3 linked regions of the Schizosaccharomyces pombe genome follow. Changing the gene in region 1 together with any one later gene gives a genetic interaction. Each region holds a gene or a part of one and is shown in the gene's direction. Other genes may lie near its edges. The genes, in order: fab1, sst6 and sst4.

Evidence for each region.
Region 2: of fab1 (region 1) and sst6, changing one suppresses a phenotype caused by changing the other (phenotypic suppression), as found in Schizosaccharomyces pombe (one study listed by BioGRID).
Region 3: of fab1 (region 1) and sst4, changing one suppresses a phenotype caused by changing the other (phenotypic suppression), as found in Schizosaccharomyces pombe (one study listed by BioGRID).

Annotation. Positions count from the first base shown.
Region 1 is NC_003423.3:2,655,765-2,661,494, reverse strand, and holds the start of fab1 (1-phosphatidylinositol-3-phosphate 5-kinase Fab1), read left to right. Parts: upstream 1-2,037; 5' UTR 2,038-2,151; coding exon 2,152-5,730. Other genes in the region: heat shock protein Hsp16, read left to right, coding at 574-1,005.
Region 2 is NC_003424.3:4,774,077-4,778,856, forward strand, and holds sst6 (ESCRT I complex subunit Vps23), read left to right. Parts: upstream 1-1,612; 5' UTR 1,613-1,761; coding exon 1,762-1,818; exon of another isoform or gene 1,819-1,857; coding exon 1,858-3,264; 3' UTR 3,265-3,362; downstream 3,363-4,780. Other genes in the region: met14 (adenylyl-sulfate kinase), read left to right, coding at 1-184, 291-430; SPOM_SPAC1782.12C (uncharacterized protein), read right to left, coding at 610-858, 915-991, 1,088-1,118; protein mug162, read right to left, coding at 3,363-3,422, 3,461-3,880, 3,933-4,071, 4,178-4,353. UniProt on the Schizosaccharomyces pombe protein: Component of the ESCRT-I complex, a regulator of vesicular trafficking process. Binds to ubiquitinated cargo proteins and is required for the sorting of endocytic ubiquitinated cargos into multivesicular bodies (MVBs).
Region 3 is NC_003424.3:2,475,340-2,480,531, forward strand, and holds sst4 (ESCRT 0 complex subunit sst4), read left to right. Parts: upstream 1-2,531; 5' UTR 2,532-2,779; coding exon 2,780-4,612; 3' UTR 4,613-4,692; downstream 4,693-5,192. Other genes in the region: U3 snoRNP-associated protein Imp4, read left to right, coding at 1-247; pbr1 (putative dehydrogenase), read right to left, coding at 627-1,757; C-22 sterol desaturase Erg5, read right to left, coding at 4,808-5,192.

The DNA of each region.
Region 1 (5,730 bases):
TTGCCAATAAAGCGCTCAAATCATAAGATTAGAAAGAAAAATTCTTACGTTATGGTTTATTTACAAATCTAAATGCGTCCTAAAAATTTTATTTTGGTTAGTTGACTACAAAGTAAAAAAAAAAATAAGGTAAAGGAAACGATATACAGTCAATGAAATGAGTATTTTTCTAACTCTACTAGAATGATTATTTTCTAGATCTCTCTAGAAAGATAGCACAGCCTTGCGTACCGAAGTTTATATTTGAATCTGCCTCGGTTGTGGCGCATAAGTGGCAAATTTGGACTTTTCTAGAGCAAGCACTAACGAACATCTAAGTCCACCCAATACAGAGTTTGAGTGTTAGCAAAAGACGCCGTTCCGAAAGTACAAACTCCGGCAAATTCGTGATCTTTCACAACGTTTACGAGAAAATTCGAGTCATCGTACAATATATGACATCCATCCCATTCCGTGCTTCCCAGAAAGGTATAAATAAGGGTACTCCTTCCGCTAGTCCAGCATCGAACAAATACAGATTTGAATTGAATTCATATAATTTCAAGTTACTCGCAATTGTTTAAATTTTAAAAAATGTCTTTGCAACCTTTTTTCGGCTTTCCCCCTACTGTCAACGACTTGTTCTCTGACTTTGTTAGTTACTCCCCTCGTTTGAACAACCAAATTCCTGGGGAGTTGTCTCCTTCGATTGATGTGCATGAGGGTAAAGACACTGTTAGCGTTGATGTAGAACTCCCTGGTGTTAAGAAAGAGGACGTTCAAGTCCATTATGATAGCGGAAAACTTACTATTTCTGGCGAAGTCGTCAATGAGAGAAAGAATGAAAGCACCGAGGGTAACCAACGCTGGTCAGAGCGTCGCTTTGGCTCATTCTCTCGTACCATTACTATTCCAGCCAAGATTGATGCAGATCGCATTGAGGCCAACTTCAGTAATGGCCTATTGACTGTCACCTTGCCCAAGGTCGAGAAGTCCCAAACTAAGAAACAAATTGCTATTAAGTAAAATCGTCTCTTCCGATTTTAATATGATAGTTTCGAAATGGTTATGAGACCAATCTTGTTGGATTGTGAGCATATATTATTGTTTGATTTAACAATCAATCATAACATATGCAATTAATGATCCGCTTGCCATTGGATTGATGAATTTTGATAATGAATTGAACACGGTCTTCTAAACAGTAAAAGAGCATTTAAATTCCACATCAAGCAATTTATGGCCAGCTGTCAGACAGTGTTTTAATGATCTTGACTACCACTTGTTACGATTCTCCAATGATGAGCAAGTGATCTCTAGCAATTTTTCAAAATAAATAAATAAATAAATATTTTTTTATTCCTAATTAGAAAACAAGTTGTTTCAAAATGCTCTATCGTAATATGTGTAGATTTATTTTTATTTTTTTCAAAAAAAAAGAACAGTATTATGTAGCTCCTAATGAATTAACAGGAGTTACATTAGCATATCATAAAGTTGTGTATGCTCTTTGAGTCTTAAATCACCGGGGCAATGAAATCGTCTTCCTTTTGCGGAGATCTGATAATATGCTCTTAACAATTTTTGGTTTTATTAGTGAGCCATAAGGTTTGTTTAAGCGGAAGTTTTGTGATTTCATGTTAGGGACAAGGGCTTCATAGATGTGTTCCTTTCTATTTTTATTCTTTATATTACTAGTTCATTGGTTCATGGACACGCTAACCTAAAAGTAGTTAAATCTCCTTGGCCTTGAGCGAGTGTTTCCATACTACCACTAATCCTTGGGTGATCCAATGTTTCCTATAAAAAAAAGTACACATAAATATATAGCCTAGGGTACCTTTCTTTTTCAGTAATCAACATACAGTTTAAAGTTAAGAATGTTATGGTTTTCGTGTGTGATTAAACCAAATTCTTGTTTGCTATAATATCTAGCTCTACAGTAAAGCCGAAAGCTCTTGTATTGCTATGGCTTTGTAAAACTTAAATTCGGCGAATCTCGTTAATATACACTATTCTATCAACACCAAAACCTAAAGTATTTATTATCAAACAGCTGCGTTTAACGTACATGCTTTTCGATATAACAATCATGACAATTCATAGAACTTAATTAATAGAACCAATAATTTCCGGAGATAATTTTAATCTTCGGTTTGCATTTCTGTTCAAATGTCAGAAGTCGAAACGCCTACCGCAGCCTCGCCCACTTTTCCTGTTGAAACCTCTCACCGTTTAGATACTTTGCATACATCAAGCACAGAGCAAATCATTAAAGATTCCGAGAATGTTGTCCACACTACGTTGAAATTGCCGACTAGTACGTTGTCGCGCGAATTTTGGATGAAAGATGAAAGAACAAACAACTGTTCATTATGTGAGACGGAATTTACTTTATTTCGAAGGAAACATCATTGTAGAATATGTGGGAAAATTATCTGCAAATATTGCTTAAAAGAAGCTCCTGGATTTATCTTTCGTCTCCAAGGATCGATCAAAGTGTGTCGTCCATGTGCTTCAATTTTAGTTAATAATTATTCTCGAAGCCAGCTATTCAATCATTCATTAAACGAATCCAAAAATAGAGATCTTACGGAGCAACATCCGTTTGTTACACTGGACGAACTTAATTCGAATGATCAAGTACTATCATCATTTGGAGATTTAAGTAGCACATTTGAGATGCCTAATAATATTCATCCTCCTGAAGTTGCTCCAATGATAGCTATTCCCTCTAGTCGCTCGAATTATGATTCTCCTGGTTGGGCTCACCATTCCATCTTTCTTGACTGGAGCAAAAGGAATTTAGATTCGAATGTTATAAATGTTGAAGATTCCGAAAGTGGTAAATATAATGCTTTAACCATTACAAATAGTTACGATGCTGGTCCTAGCTCTGTTTCCACAGATTATCGTCCCGTCAATTTTGGAAAAGTACCTTCATACTCAAAGTTAAGAAAGAATAAAGCGTTTTCCTCAGCGAAAGTCTCTGATATGTACTTGTCGGCTGATGAAAGAAACCGGCTCGAGGATTTTAGCAAAGGCGACAGAGGCCTTTCATTTGTTAACCTTTCTCCAAATATAAAAGCAACGTCTTACGATCGATTGAGCACAGTAATAAATGAACCCTTTATTTCAAGAAGTTCTTCCTTGACTGATGAACGGGGTTTGGCCGATTCGGGCAATTCCTATCATCATTTCTCCGACTCCGACGATGAATCACTATTCAATGATGGATTGGGCCTTTCTTTTCATGCCAATAGTGCAATTATTAAGCAACGCCAGCAAAATGTTGCATCAATTCAGCGTTACGGTAATGAAAGTTACTTATCAAATTTTTTAAAAGCTTTTCTTCCGAAAACGGTTTGCGACTATCTTTTTCCTTCTTCTACTATTCCCGATGGACTTCCCGCTTTAATTGAAAACTTCAATGCGCGAGTTGATAAGGTGAATCATCCCGGTGGAACAGAAGAGCCTCTTCCTTACCAGGGAAAGTCGCGTGCTTCTTCTGTAGTTACCTCTTCCAAAAGCACATGTATTTTACCACCTTGGATTCTCTTCTCTGATTCATTTAATCAGCTTGTATGTACTTTTCTGGGAAAATTACTCTTTCAAATGCTAAATGATGAGGGTGTGGATTCGCCTATGCAATGGGTACTTTGTCTCCCAAAAATTCTTTTAAAAATGGCTTTGGATCTAGGTCCTGATATTCGCTCTGGTGATGATATTGATGTCCGCAGCTATGTAAAAATAAAAAAGATTCCCGGGGGAAGCATTCAAGATTGTTTTCTTGTTAATGGTGTTTTGTTCTCAAAAAAAGCTTCGTCCAAATCTATGGACCGCTCGCTTCGTCGGCCTCGTATAGCTCTTTTAACTTTCAGTTTAGACTACGCTTGTGACGAACAGAGAATTTTATCCTTGGATTTAATCATCTCTCAGCAAGAAGAGTATATTATAAATCTTGTCAATAGAATCTGCATGCTTAAACCGAATCTAGTTTTTGCTCAGGGTCAAATCCCCAGTATTGCCTTGAAGTACTTTGAAGAACATGGCGTTATAGCCTTTCATGGACTTAAAGAATCAGTTTTATATGACATAGCTAGATGTTGTCGTGCAGACATAATATCGTCAATAGATAAATTGTCGCTTTGTCCTCGTCTTGGTACTTGCGGCAGGTTTCAACTCAGAACGTATGTTGTCGATGAAAACAAAGGGTTGAGGAAAACGTTTGCTATACTTGATCGCTGCTCGGAACGTTTAGGCTGCACCATAGTTCTAAGAGGAGCTGATTATAATCAGTTGAGCAAGGTCAAGAAGATTGTCGAACTTGTTGTTTTGATTGCATATCATATCAAACTTGAATGTGCCTTGTTAAGAGACAAATTTGTGAATATGCCGGAGCTTTTTGAAACAACCTATCAAAGTTTGTCTAGGAAATCGTTGCCTTCGTTTGCCTCTACTGCAGCTGATAAAGAGAAAAGCCAAAATCATGAAAAAAAATCTCTGAACAGTGATAATCAAAGTTTGCGACCTTTGGAAAATGAAAATCAAAGTGTTTCTAGCACCCAAGGTAGCAACAGCCCGCTTGAGTTGATCAATAACTTACCAGCCTCAGATGACTATTCTTCTATTACCAAGGCTTTGAAAACCAGATTTTTAACGTTTTCACCCTTTTTATCAAAGCCTCTTCCACGTTTATTAAACCAAGTTAATTATTACCAGTTTATTCGTAACAAATTACTGAAAGATGTGAAGTTACATCCATACTCACCAACTGGCTCATTCGTAATGAAGCAGTCCGAAAATGACAATGTAGAAGAAAGTTACGAAGAGTCCTATAAATTCTTTTGTATTGATGAACGTTATCATTTTTTAGAAAAGCAGTGGACACTTTATTACTCTCATTCAAAACTCATGTTTTCTCCATTTTCTTCTCAAAGGATTATTTTGTTATATTCCATTATTAACAAGGAAACTTCTGTTCCTTGTATTGGCCCTGAACGTTGTCTATTAGAATTTTATCGAGAAACTGATTGCACTCTTGGTCAGTACATAGAGGACTCATGCTTGAATACCAATGTAAGTTGTGGAGGTGAGTATTGTAAAACGAATGATATGCTGTGGCATTACAGGAGTTATGTTCATGGAAATAGTCGGATCAGCGTTTTTTTGGAATCTTTTTCGTGCCCTGTCCCTGGTTTGGAAGAAAAGATAATTATGTGGAGTTACTGCAAATTCTGTAAAAAGAATACACACATTACTGTTATGTCTGAAGAAACATGGAAATATTCGTTTGGAAAATATCTTGAATTCATGTTCTATAATTCTCAAATAAGGGATCGCTTCGAATTCTGTGACCACAGTGTTATGGCACAACATGTTCATTATTTCGGTTATTGCAACATGGCTTTACGATTTCAAAGAGACCTAATAGAGATTTTTGAACTCTTCGTTCCATCGGTCACTTTACGAAATAATCCATCATATATTAAAGAGCTGAAAGAAAAGGAGTATAAACGTTTAAAAGGTGTCATTGAAAAATGCTTGTCTTCTGTTGCTTCAAGGATAAACCAAATAAAGTGCGATTGGGTTACTGATCCTGAGAAATTTGAGTCTTGTACATCTGAAATTTCAAAATTTCGCACTTTACTTTCAAGTGACTATACTGAATTGTATTCTGAATTTGATTCAATTTATCTTAATTCCTCAACTTCTGATTATTTATCACTAAACTCAATCCTGCGCGTCCTC
Region 2 (4,780 bases), on another chromosome or scaffold:
GCCTGTGTAGTTGCAGTAACTTCCTTCATTTCTCCTTATCGCAAGGATCGTGATCAAGCACGCGAATTTCATAAAAAAGATGGACTTCCTTTTATTGAGGTTTATGTTGAATGTCCAGTGGAAGTTGCCGAGCAGCGTGATCCAAAGGGTTTGTACAAGCGTGCTCGTGCTGGTGAGATTAAAGGTAGGTAATTGTTACACATTAAAGATACTTTTTCCCCTCAGGAAATTCCATTTTCTCAATGTTTTTAAATAGATGACCCTATAAAATTAAGGCTAACCGGTTTTAGAATTTACAGGAATTTCTGCTCCCTATGAGGCTCCCATTTCTCCTGAAATCGTGGTTTCTTCTCATACTCAATCGATTGAAGAGTGTGTTGAAAAAATCGTCAATTACTTGTTGGAAAAGGATTTGATTACTTTGAAGTAAACACGTTAACTCATCTTAAATACTTGTATTCCCCTTATATCCTTTCTCTCTTTTTTGTTCGCTTACTTGGGACCCAATAAAATCATAACATATTCTTTATCTGCTAGTATTTTAGAAACGACATCATTAATACTTGCGTCTGTACTGGTAAAACAAAAAGCATCTAAATTAAAGCTCTCTTAAACTAGCATTGTAGCCCACCCTGTAAGCATCACTAGTCCTCCAATTGGTGTCAAGGGCCCAAGAATTCGTCGCAGACTATGTCCTTTAGGCAATAAACAAAGTCCATAAATTGTCCCAGAAAACAAGCAGCTTCCTGTAATCAGCAGGGGTCCCGTCCAACGAGATTTCCCGTAAACTGGATGCAAAGAAACGGCCATGGTTGCCAATGAATGGAACATCAAGTAAGTACAAGCAGTGGACCATGACTATAATTTTATGTTAAAATAGTTACAATCATGAAATAAAAATGCATAAATCCTACCTTCAATAAATGTGGATCCTGAACACGTTTTTGCAACCCGTGAGATCCATATGCACCTAAACCTACGCTGAGCAGTCCTTTTTTATTGTTAGATAACGTAAAATAGGTTGTTTAACAAAAAGTAAATGTATATAAAGGTTATATACCAGTCTATTACTTGTGCTAGAACCTACCTGTCAATGCAGCTACGTTCCAAATTGTCATTATTGATAAACAAATATCAGATAATTCTTTCAATAAAAATGCAAACTGCTCGGTTTATTGCCGTAATTAACCTTTCAATAGTCTTGCAATTGTAGTATTGCTGGTGTTAAAAGAGAAGTGGAATACGTATGTGAGAACAATGATCCTCAATTATAGTTGCTACCTTAGTTTATATTTATGGATACGACACATTTCCAAAATATTGAATAAGAAATCTGAGCGTATTGGTACTTTGTGAATTTTTCATAACTGCTCCTATCAGTCTATAAATTCATATCCTAATATTATATACTATCAGATCGTCAATTTCAGAAATTGAGTATGTAGCACTTAAAATAAACTTGGCGTTAATGTTAATATGGCATCAATTGAAAATAATCTTGAGTATCGTTACCTGTTTTATCGCTTGATATAACGATATATTGTAATATTATACAGTTTATTTAAAAAAGAGATGCAGCATTGACGTTATTTATTACAACGATAAAATGCGTAAAGAAAACGACCATCTGTTCAAAATCAATTTCACAAGTGGTGCTTGCAATTAATAGGTTTTCGAAAACCAGCTAACTTTATTTGATTTCTTTAAATCCTATAAGATTTAATCACGTGCTTGCATAAGTGCGCCTCGTTTCTTTTTACCATGTCAGATCATGCAATCAATGAACACCCTTCACGAATTTTGAATACAATTGAAAAGGTACCGCTTGTTTTTTTACCAATTTAACCTGAAAAATAGATTAGATTTTGGAAGAATGGACTTGCTGAAGAACTAGAATTATTGTTTAGAAAACAATGTGAAGACACGTTTACACTTCAAGCAATTAATATTGAAGTAGATACGCAAGACGAAAACAAAATAGAAGAGGTCCGCATTTATTTGAGTACTCCAGCATTTGACAAAACAATTTTAACCTCGGCTTGTATAACGGTTCGCTCTTATTATCCATCACAGCCGCCAATAGTACAATTATTGGATGAAAAAGGAGGAAAGCATAAGTACACAAGTCTTCTACTACAACTTTGGAAAAATGAACGGTCTGTTTTTAATATCTATCGTTTAGTTCAAGCTCTAATAAAGCAAGACTTTGAAAGAGAACATACTTCTCCTCCTGAACTGCCGACAAAACTCGTTAATACTATTGAAAAGCTCAAAGTGAAAGAAGAAAATGAAGCTCCTCCTGTTATCCCTGCTAAACCATTCTCATCTTCCTCTGAACAACATTTCCGAAAGGTGCCTGCGTTACCTTCCAAACTACCGCCTAAGCCTTTAAAAATTACCGCTAATAGTTCCTTAGGACAAGAAACAAATTCCAATTCTTCCTCTTTTCAAAGTACGCTTTTTTCTCTGAATACAGCACCTTTTTCAGCTACATCACAACAGCTTGTTCACGATTCTGTTTCATTGAGGCGACCAAGTTCTAACATTCCTGCCCAAAAACCTATTCCACCAAAACCTGAACAAAATGAGATAATAATTACCAAAGACACGCCTTCACTTAAAGACAAATATTCAAAGCCTGCTCTGTTACCGCAAAAACCCAAAGTTTCTAAAGGTCAGATCGTTCAACAAGTTTCAGTGTTCTCGACAGGAAAAAAAATTGAGTCCCAAAGTTTGCTCAACCTTATAGATACAGATATTGAAACCCCTTTAAAAGGTTCGTCTGAGCTACTGTATTCAGAAGACTTTAAGCCCAATGTTGACCCTGTGAAAATTCAGCAAATTCTACATAAACAGAACAAAATTATTGAAGAAAAATGGATTTCACAAATACGAATATCTAAAAACTTAGAGGTTAAGCAAAGGCTTTTGGATCAAGAAAGACACGCTTTAGAAACACTTGCTAAAAATATTGAAAACAATAGATTCATCTTAGGAAAAAGAAGGAGAAAAGCCAGAGAAGCCCTACAGAAGTTGGACAATTTAAAAGACTTATCTGTTCAAGAACTATTTATAATACCCTCCGAACGAGAACTAAAATATTATGAACTTAAACGTAAGGACGAAAAACTGGATGAAGGAATTCGAGCCCTGAATCAGGCCTTGCATCATGAATCAATCATGCCCGCATCTTGGTTAAAGGGAATAAAGCTGTTAGCTAGACAACAATTTTTAATACGGGACGAAATGCTTCAATACTCTTAAGATTATAGTGATGTGAATTTCAGTGTCGACATTTTTAGGAATATATGGACAAGATAAATATTATTCTTTTATTTATTTTTTTGTAAAAAATATCTCCATTACCAGTAATTTCGATAATCATCGTCCTCATAACTTAGGTTTTTAAAATTTTTCTTTTCCTAGAAAGGTTAGATTGGATAACATAATTTTTGCTTACAATTGCATAAATCCATATACTAGGGAAAATAATTAAACAGGAAGTTAATAAATTGAAGTAAGAAATAAGTGGTTTTGCTGTAATTAATGAACCCGTATTTAAAAGAAGTACGGATAATCCTGCAAGAAATCCTAGTACAAAATCCTTGGAGTCAATCAACTTAATCCAAATATACAAATTAATAACCCATAATGCAAATAAATGATAGGACAAATGTACTCTGCCAAGTAAAGGAAGCATGTATTCAGAAAACTTAAGAAACAGCAGAACATTAAGTATGAAGTGCAGTTTGATAGGAATTTCAATTATGCTGATTATTGTCCAATTTTTATTTTTTAAAGATAGAGATTTAATTGACCTTATATTAAAATAGCAAGCAGCGGAAAAGCTTATGAAAGCGAGTTCCATGCAACCAACTCTCTACAATCATTAATTAAGAATTCTCCAGAAAATTTAATAAATAAATACATACATCAAAAGAATACCCAAAAAATTCCATCATCAAGCCATAAAACATAAGGCTGGAAACTTGGAACACAGAATTTTGAACGGCAGAGTATTCGTTTGCCGAACCCGCTGTAAATATGCAATCTGCACAAAGAACTGTTCCCCTGATTGAAATAGTTAGAACTTCTTCATGTTAAGATTCTCATGAATCTCAATTAGTTAAAAAATACGCCGGAAGAAAGAAATTCCTTCCGACATAAAATAAGATACCTAATGTATATCCATAGAGATGGAGAAAATGACCATAAGCTAGGATTTACTAATTGTAAAGTTTTTAAGTTCCAAGTTCCTATGTAGCCTAACAATATAATAAGAATATCGAAGAAAATGACAATACGCAAATTATTCAAAGCTGTGAGTCTTTGTTTATAGACTTCATCATCCATGATTGCGGAAGCAATTTAAATATTGTCAAATTAAAATATATTCATTCGACAATTATTTTCAGCAAATAAGCTTGAAAATTGTAGCTGTATTTAATATATGTCAAGGCAAGGCAATTTTGTGGTAAATAATTCGAGCAAAGAATTGCGAGCTTACGTACAGTAGAGGTACTGACTATTTACGATTAGTACTACCCTCTCTATCAGCTTAAAGAATAATAAAAAAAAATATATATATATATAATTCAGTTGAATGTACTAGTCATTGTTTACGAAATTTTATCGAACCTAAATTTATTATTATTATTATGTGTAAACAATTTTCAAATTTATGTAACCGTTTAATGAAATTGATATAATCAGTTGTTAAAATTAATGAACAACAATAAACAAAATTTAAATAAATTAAATTATACAAAACTTTTAGTAG
Region 3 (5,192 bases), on another chromosome or scaffold:
TCCTCCAGACCCTAAAGATACTACACCACGTGTGGTTACATTTGCTAACACTGATGATTATATCAGTTTCCGTCACCACATTTACGCCAAAACAGGCCCAAAGCAGATTATTCTATCTGAGGCTGGTCCTCGCTTTGAGATGAAACTATTTGAAATTACCCTCGGCACCGTTGATATGGTAGACGCTGATGTGGAATGGAAATTGAAGCCTTACCAGCGTCACAAACGTGATGTTTTAGCTGAATGAGCGTAGGTATGATGGGTATGGTCAAACGGTTATTTTAGGTTCATTTGGGATACAGGTAAATAATTACAATTCTTTTATGTATAGGCAAGGCCATTAGAGTGAATGGTATCTTTGATAAATAAGGAGGCAAAACTTTCTAGTATTAGTGGTTAATGGTTATACTATTCAAAACATTAGTGAAGTAGAACATATATCAGTAGCGATTGTACTTGGGTTCCTTTTTTATATTTTAATTAGTTTACTTGAGCAATGTTTATGTACAGCTTAAAGTTTAAGCACTGTATTTGTCTTTTTAAAAATACCAACCTTTTAACTTCGGACCTACGTTATTATGGTGAATATTCCAACCAAATGACATTCCATATTTTTCGCTAAACTTCTATTTTTTTGATTTCTTGATTTTCTTCTTCTTGTATTGCTTTTCAACTTCATCAATTTGGGCATCGGCAGCTTTTATTAGTTTTTCAGCAAATTCCGGATCGGTAATTTCTTTGCGTGAATATTCAACTATCGAACATTCATTTACAAGGACGGGTTGAGTAATCGAAGCAAATTCGGGACTGCAAATAGCATGAAAAAATGATTGAGCACCATGAATAGTACCTTTCAGAAGAAGCCACCAAAACGGCCAAAGTAACAAATAAAGAAATAATCCCCAAACCTTTCCAAAGGATACAACTCTTCGAAATCCTGGAGTTCGAACGACACCTGGATTTGCCATGATGGTATGTAAATTACACGGCATTTTGTCAGGTCGTTCATGAGCTTCAGCTTTTTTCTGAAAATCATAAAGATAAGTCATCAAGGCAAGTTTGGCATTTCCCACTACCTTCCAGGGACTTTTTCGAGGATATGGATGATTAGATAAATCAAGATCGTTGAAATCTATATTACCTAAAATATATGATGAACAGGTAGCTGCAACAATTCGTACTTCCCTGTGCCCGGGCTGACCATATATAACTGGGCGGAGAATCCTAAGTAGCTGGTATGGACCTAAGAAATTTGTAGCCCATTGCAACTCAACACCTTCCTCGGTAGTTTGCCTATCCATAAATGGAGGCAGTAAAACTCCACTGCACAAAACTATCATATCCAGCCTACGAATAGGAGTGCAATCAATCCACTTTGTAGCGAACTTCCTAACAGATAACATAGAGCTCAAGTCACAGACTTCAGTATAAATTAGTTGGTTTTTTGTACGCTTTCTAAGGTCCATTATGTAATCTACAGTAAATTGATCTGGCTCTGTACGAAGTAGAATAACAACTTGAGCTCCCAGAGAAGCTAATTTCTCTACGACAACTTGTCCTATTCCAGAACTTCCCCCAGTGACCATGACTACCATTCCGTTCATTTTACGCTCCCAAGTTGTTGTTCGTCCAGAAGTCCAGAATTTAAAGGCCGCAATTGTTGAAACCGCAATCGCAGCCTTTGTATATTGAGCCCAATGTGTAATTAGATGCTCATACTTAAATTGTGCTATGTGAGCAATAATTGGAATAGGCATATTTCGTTGATTTACAAAATCTGTTGATGGAGTTGGCAAAAGGCAGCTACATACCACTGACATTGAGGTATACTAAACTCGTCTTCATATTTAATTCTTAACAATCAAAAATTTAAAACTTTTTTTTATACAATTGTTTTAACTTTAGATGGATTTAATTGTACAATTATTTAATCGCTTGACTGCTAGTGCATATTACTAATAGCAACTAGCTCCATAAATTTGACAAAGATAGGATTGAATTGTTTTTGTATATATACATAATGTAATTTATGGACCGTAAAACAGATTGCTTACAAATTGGAAAGTAAAATAGACTGTTTATATGATATATATGTGAAATTTGAAGATATACTAAATACTTGTTTTAACATAGGAAAATTAAGTATGTGTATACTACAACATTTGACATATTATTTTTTATAATATTTCAAGAAACACTGTGATAGTATATAATTCGCATAGCAAATATAAATTATTACGGTCTGTCTTATTAGCACCTACCAGAAGTACAGCACTCAATGGTGAGGTATCGTTTTCCTTCTTTGCTTATTTATGGTACCTTCAAAAAGGCTGAAACTACATTGCACGCTTTAGCTTGATCTACCTAATGAGTCTATAAACATCATCGATATTTACGACAATTAGTGTTCTCTCAATACTTGCTTTACTATATTTGCCGCTCTGCACTATCAACCGTTATACCGAGATGTGCTAAGCTGCCCGCACTATTACTTAGCAAGTTTGAGCCACGAACAATCTGTTATTGCTGTCGAGAACCAAACTCTTTCTCAAATTGAATTTTATTGGAAAGGAGGATTTACAATACATTATTTTGCCATAATTTCAAACAATCAGAAGAATTGTGCCAAAGTTGTTATACTTCACCTGCTGCTTTTGTTTATTAGGAATTTTTGAAGGCCATTGGTTATTTGTTTGGTGACAATTTAGCTTACAAATAATAAAAAGATTTCTTTTGTTTCTTAATTTCGGTTTTTCTTTTCTTCTCTATTTTCATAACGATGTCTCGGTGGTGGAATTCCAATTCTCAGTTTGCTTCCGACATAGAAAAGGCTACATCGGAAACGCTTCCTGCTGGCTCTGAAGAAATTTCATTATATTTAGAAATTTCTGATCAAATACGTAGTAAGTCTGTTGATCCGAAATTTGCTATGCGTATTCTTAAATCCCGAATTGATCATTCGAATCCGAATGTTCAAATAATGGCATTGAAGTTGACAGATACCTGCGTTAAAAATGGGGGTTCCGGTTTTTTATTGGAAATAGCTTCTAGAGAGTTTATGGATAATTTGGTATCTATTCTACGATCTCCTGCAGGAATAGACGAAGACGTTAAAATGGTCATTTTACGATACATTCAGTCTTGGGCTTTGGCAGTTCCAGATACCAATTCTCCACTTAGTTATATTATTCATGTTTATCAAAATTTAAAAGACGGTGATTATGAGTTCCCTGAGCCTTCTCAGAACATTACTAGCAAATTTTTAGATACTGAAACACCGCCCGATTGGACAGATAGTGAAGTTTGTCTTCGTTGTCGTACACCTTTTACATTCACTAATCGTAAACACCATTGTAGAAATTGCGGTGGCGTGTTTTGCAATCAATGTTCTTCAAAAACACTTTCTCTTCCTCACCTTGGAATTAACCAGCCTGTTAGGGTATGCGACAGTTGTTATTCATTACGTACGAAACCCAAAGGTTCCAAATCAAGAGCGCGAAATGAAAGGAAATTCCATGCGAAGACTAGAAAGACACCCTCTAAACCCGTAACTAATAATGAAGACGAAGATATCAAAAGAGCTATTGAGCTTTCCCTCAAAGAAATGCCTCAATCACGAGAACCTCCATCTTATGAAAGACCTTCAGAGGCCAATGTAGTTATTAGTCAAGACCAACATCTTACAGAAGACGAAGATGAAGAGCTTAAACGTGCTATTGCTATCAGCCTTGAGGAAGCACAGAAGTCATCTCAAAAGGATGACAATGTTACGGCACCTAACAATATGAATATTTCTTACCCTAGTGTTCCAGCTCACACCGTTTCAACTGATATTCGATCATCTCCTTTCTCTGGTAGGCCGAGTGATAATCCTTCTACTTTAATTTCTACTGCGGATGCTGATAACATCACTTTATATGCTACTTTGGTGCAAAAGTTAAAAAAGCTACCACCTGGGTCTATTTTTACGGAATATCAGCTACAGGAACTCCACGAAAATATGGGTGTTATGCGAACTCGTATGATGCGATCGCTTGGTGAAACAATGAGTAAATATAACGGGCTAATTCAAGCTTTGCAAAAGCTCCAAACTTGTATGCGATTGAATGATGCTCTAATAGAACAAAGACTTTCATCCACGTATGCACATCATTATATTGATTCTAGCATGGATTCAAACCGATCAATTGAACCTGAGCCGGATGTAATTAGCACTGTGAGGAATAGTTCAACCATTCCCCAGGCTTCGTCTTCTTCTGTCCCGAAAATCGTTGTCGATTCGTCTCCGGTAACAGAAAATCCCCCTAGTCATTCTGATGTGATGGGTCAGAAAGATACTATCTCCAGTTATTACTCGACGGATACAGACGTTTCTGCGAATGTAATGGGAAATCGACACGATGAAGTTGTATTTTCTGACACCGCATCTGGTGAAAAGAATACAAAATTAAATATCGATGAAAGTACCAACTATTATAATACTGATTCAATCGATAAAGTTGGAGAGCCTTTTGACGAAATTTCCTCTGGTTATGATGATTTAATGAATGGCAATGATAAGCAAGGTAATGATATTCCTGAAGTTCAAGAAGCATCTTTAATCGAGCTTTAGGTTTTAAACATCTTATAATACATATTAAATACTTAGATCAATTTATCGACAATGCATGTCTGTTTACGATCCTTTTAATATTTTTTTGTTTTTCAAAATTGATCAATTGTAACCTAAAATTCAGAATGGTGAATACATACGTAAACTAAACTAATAAACGACTATAGACTCCGAACCTGGGTAGTTATTTGTAAATCAAGCGCTCTCAGTCTCCACAGTTGCGGCAGAGACTGCTTCATTTGAAAAAGCCTCCTTGGAGTTTTTCCAGTCAACAGTTGAAGCATCAAAAGGTGAAAATTTGAGGTAACACATATCTTGAGGAAATGTCGTAGCGAAAATCATTTGAGTATCAGAGTCAGGGGTTCTTTTATGTTTCCAATCAAGCATGATACTGGCCTTTCCAATGCAAGCAATTAAATGATTAACGGCATAACGCTGGCCCAAACATACATGAGGACCATTACCAAAAACCATCCAATTCTTAGGACTTTGCTCGGCAAGACCATTTGGTGCCCAGCGGTCAGGATTAAATGTTTCTGGCTCTGGATAAACCTTAGAATCGTGAAGTGCACCATAGAGG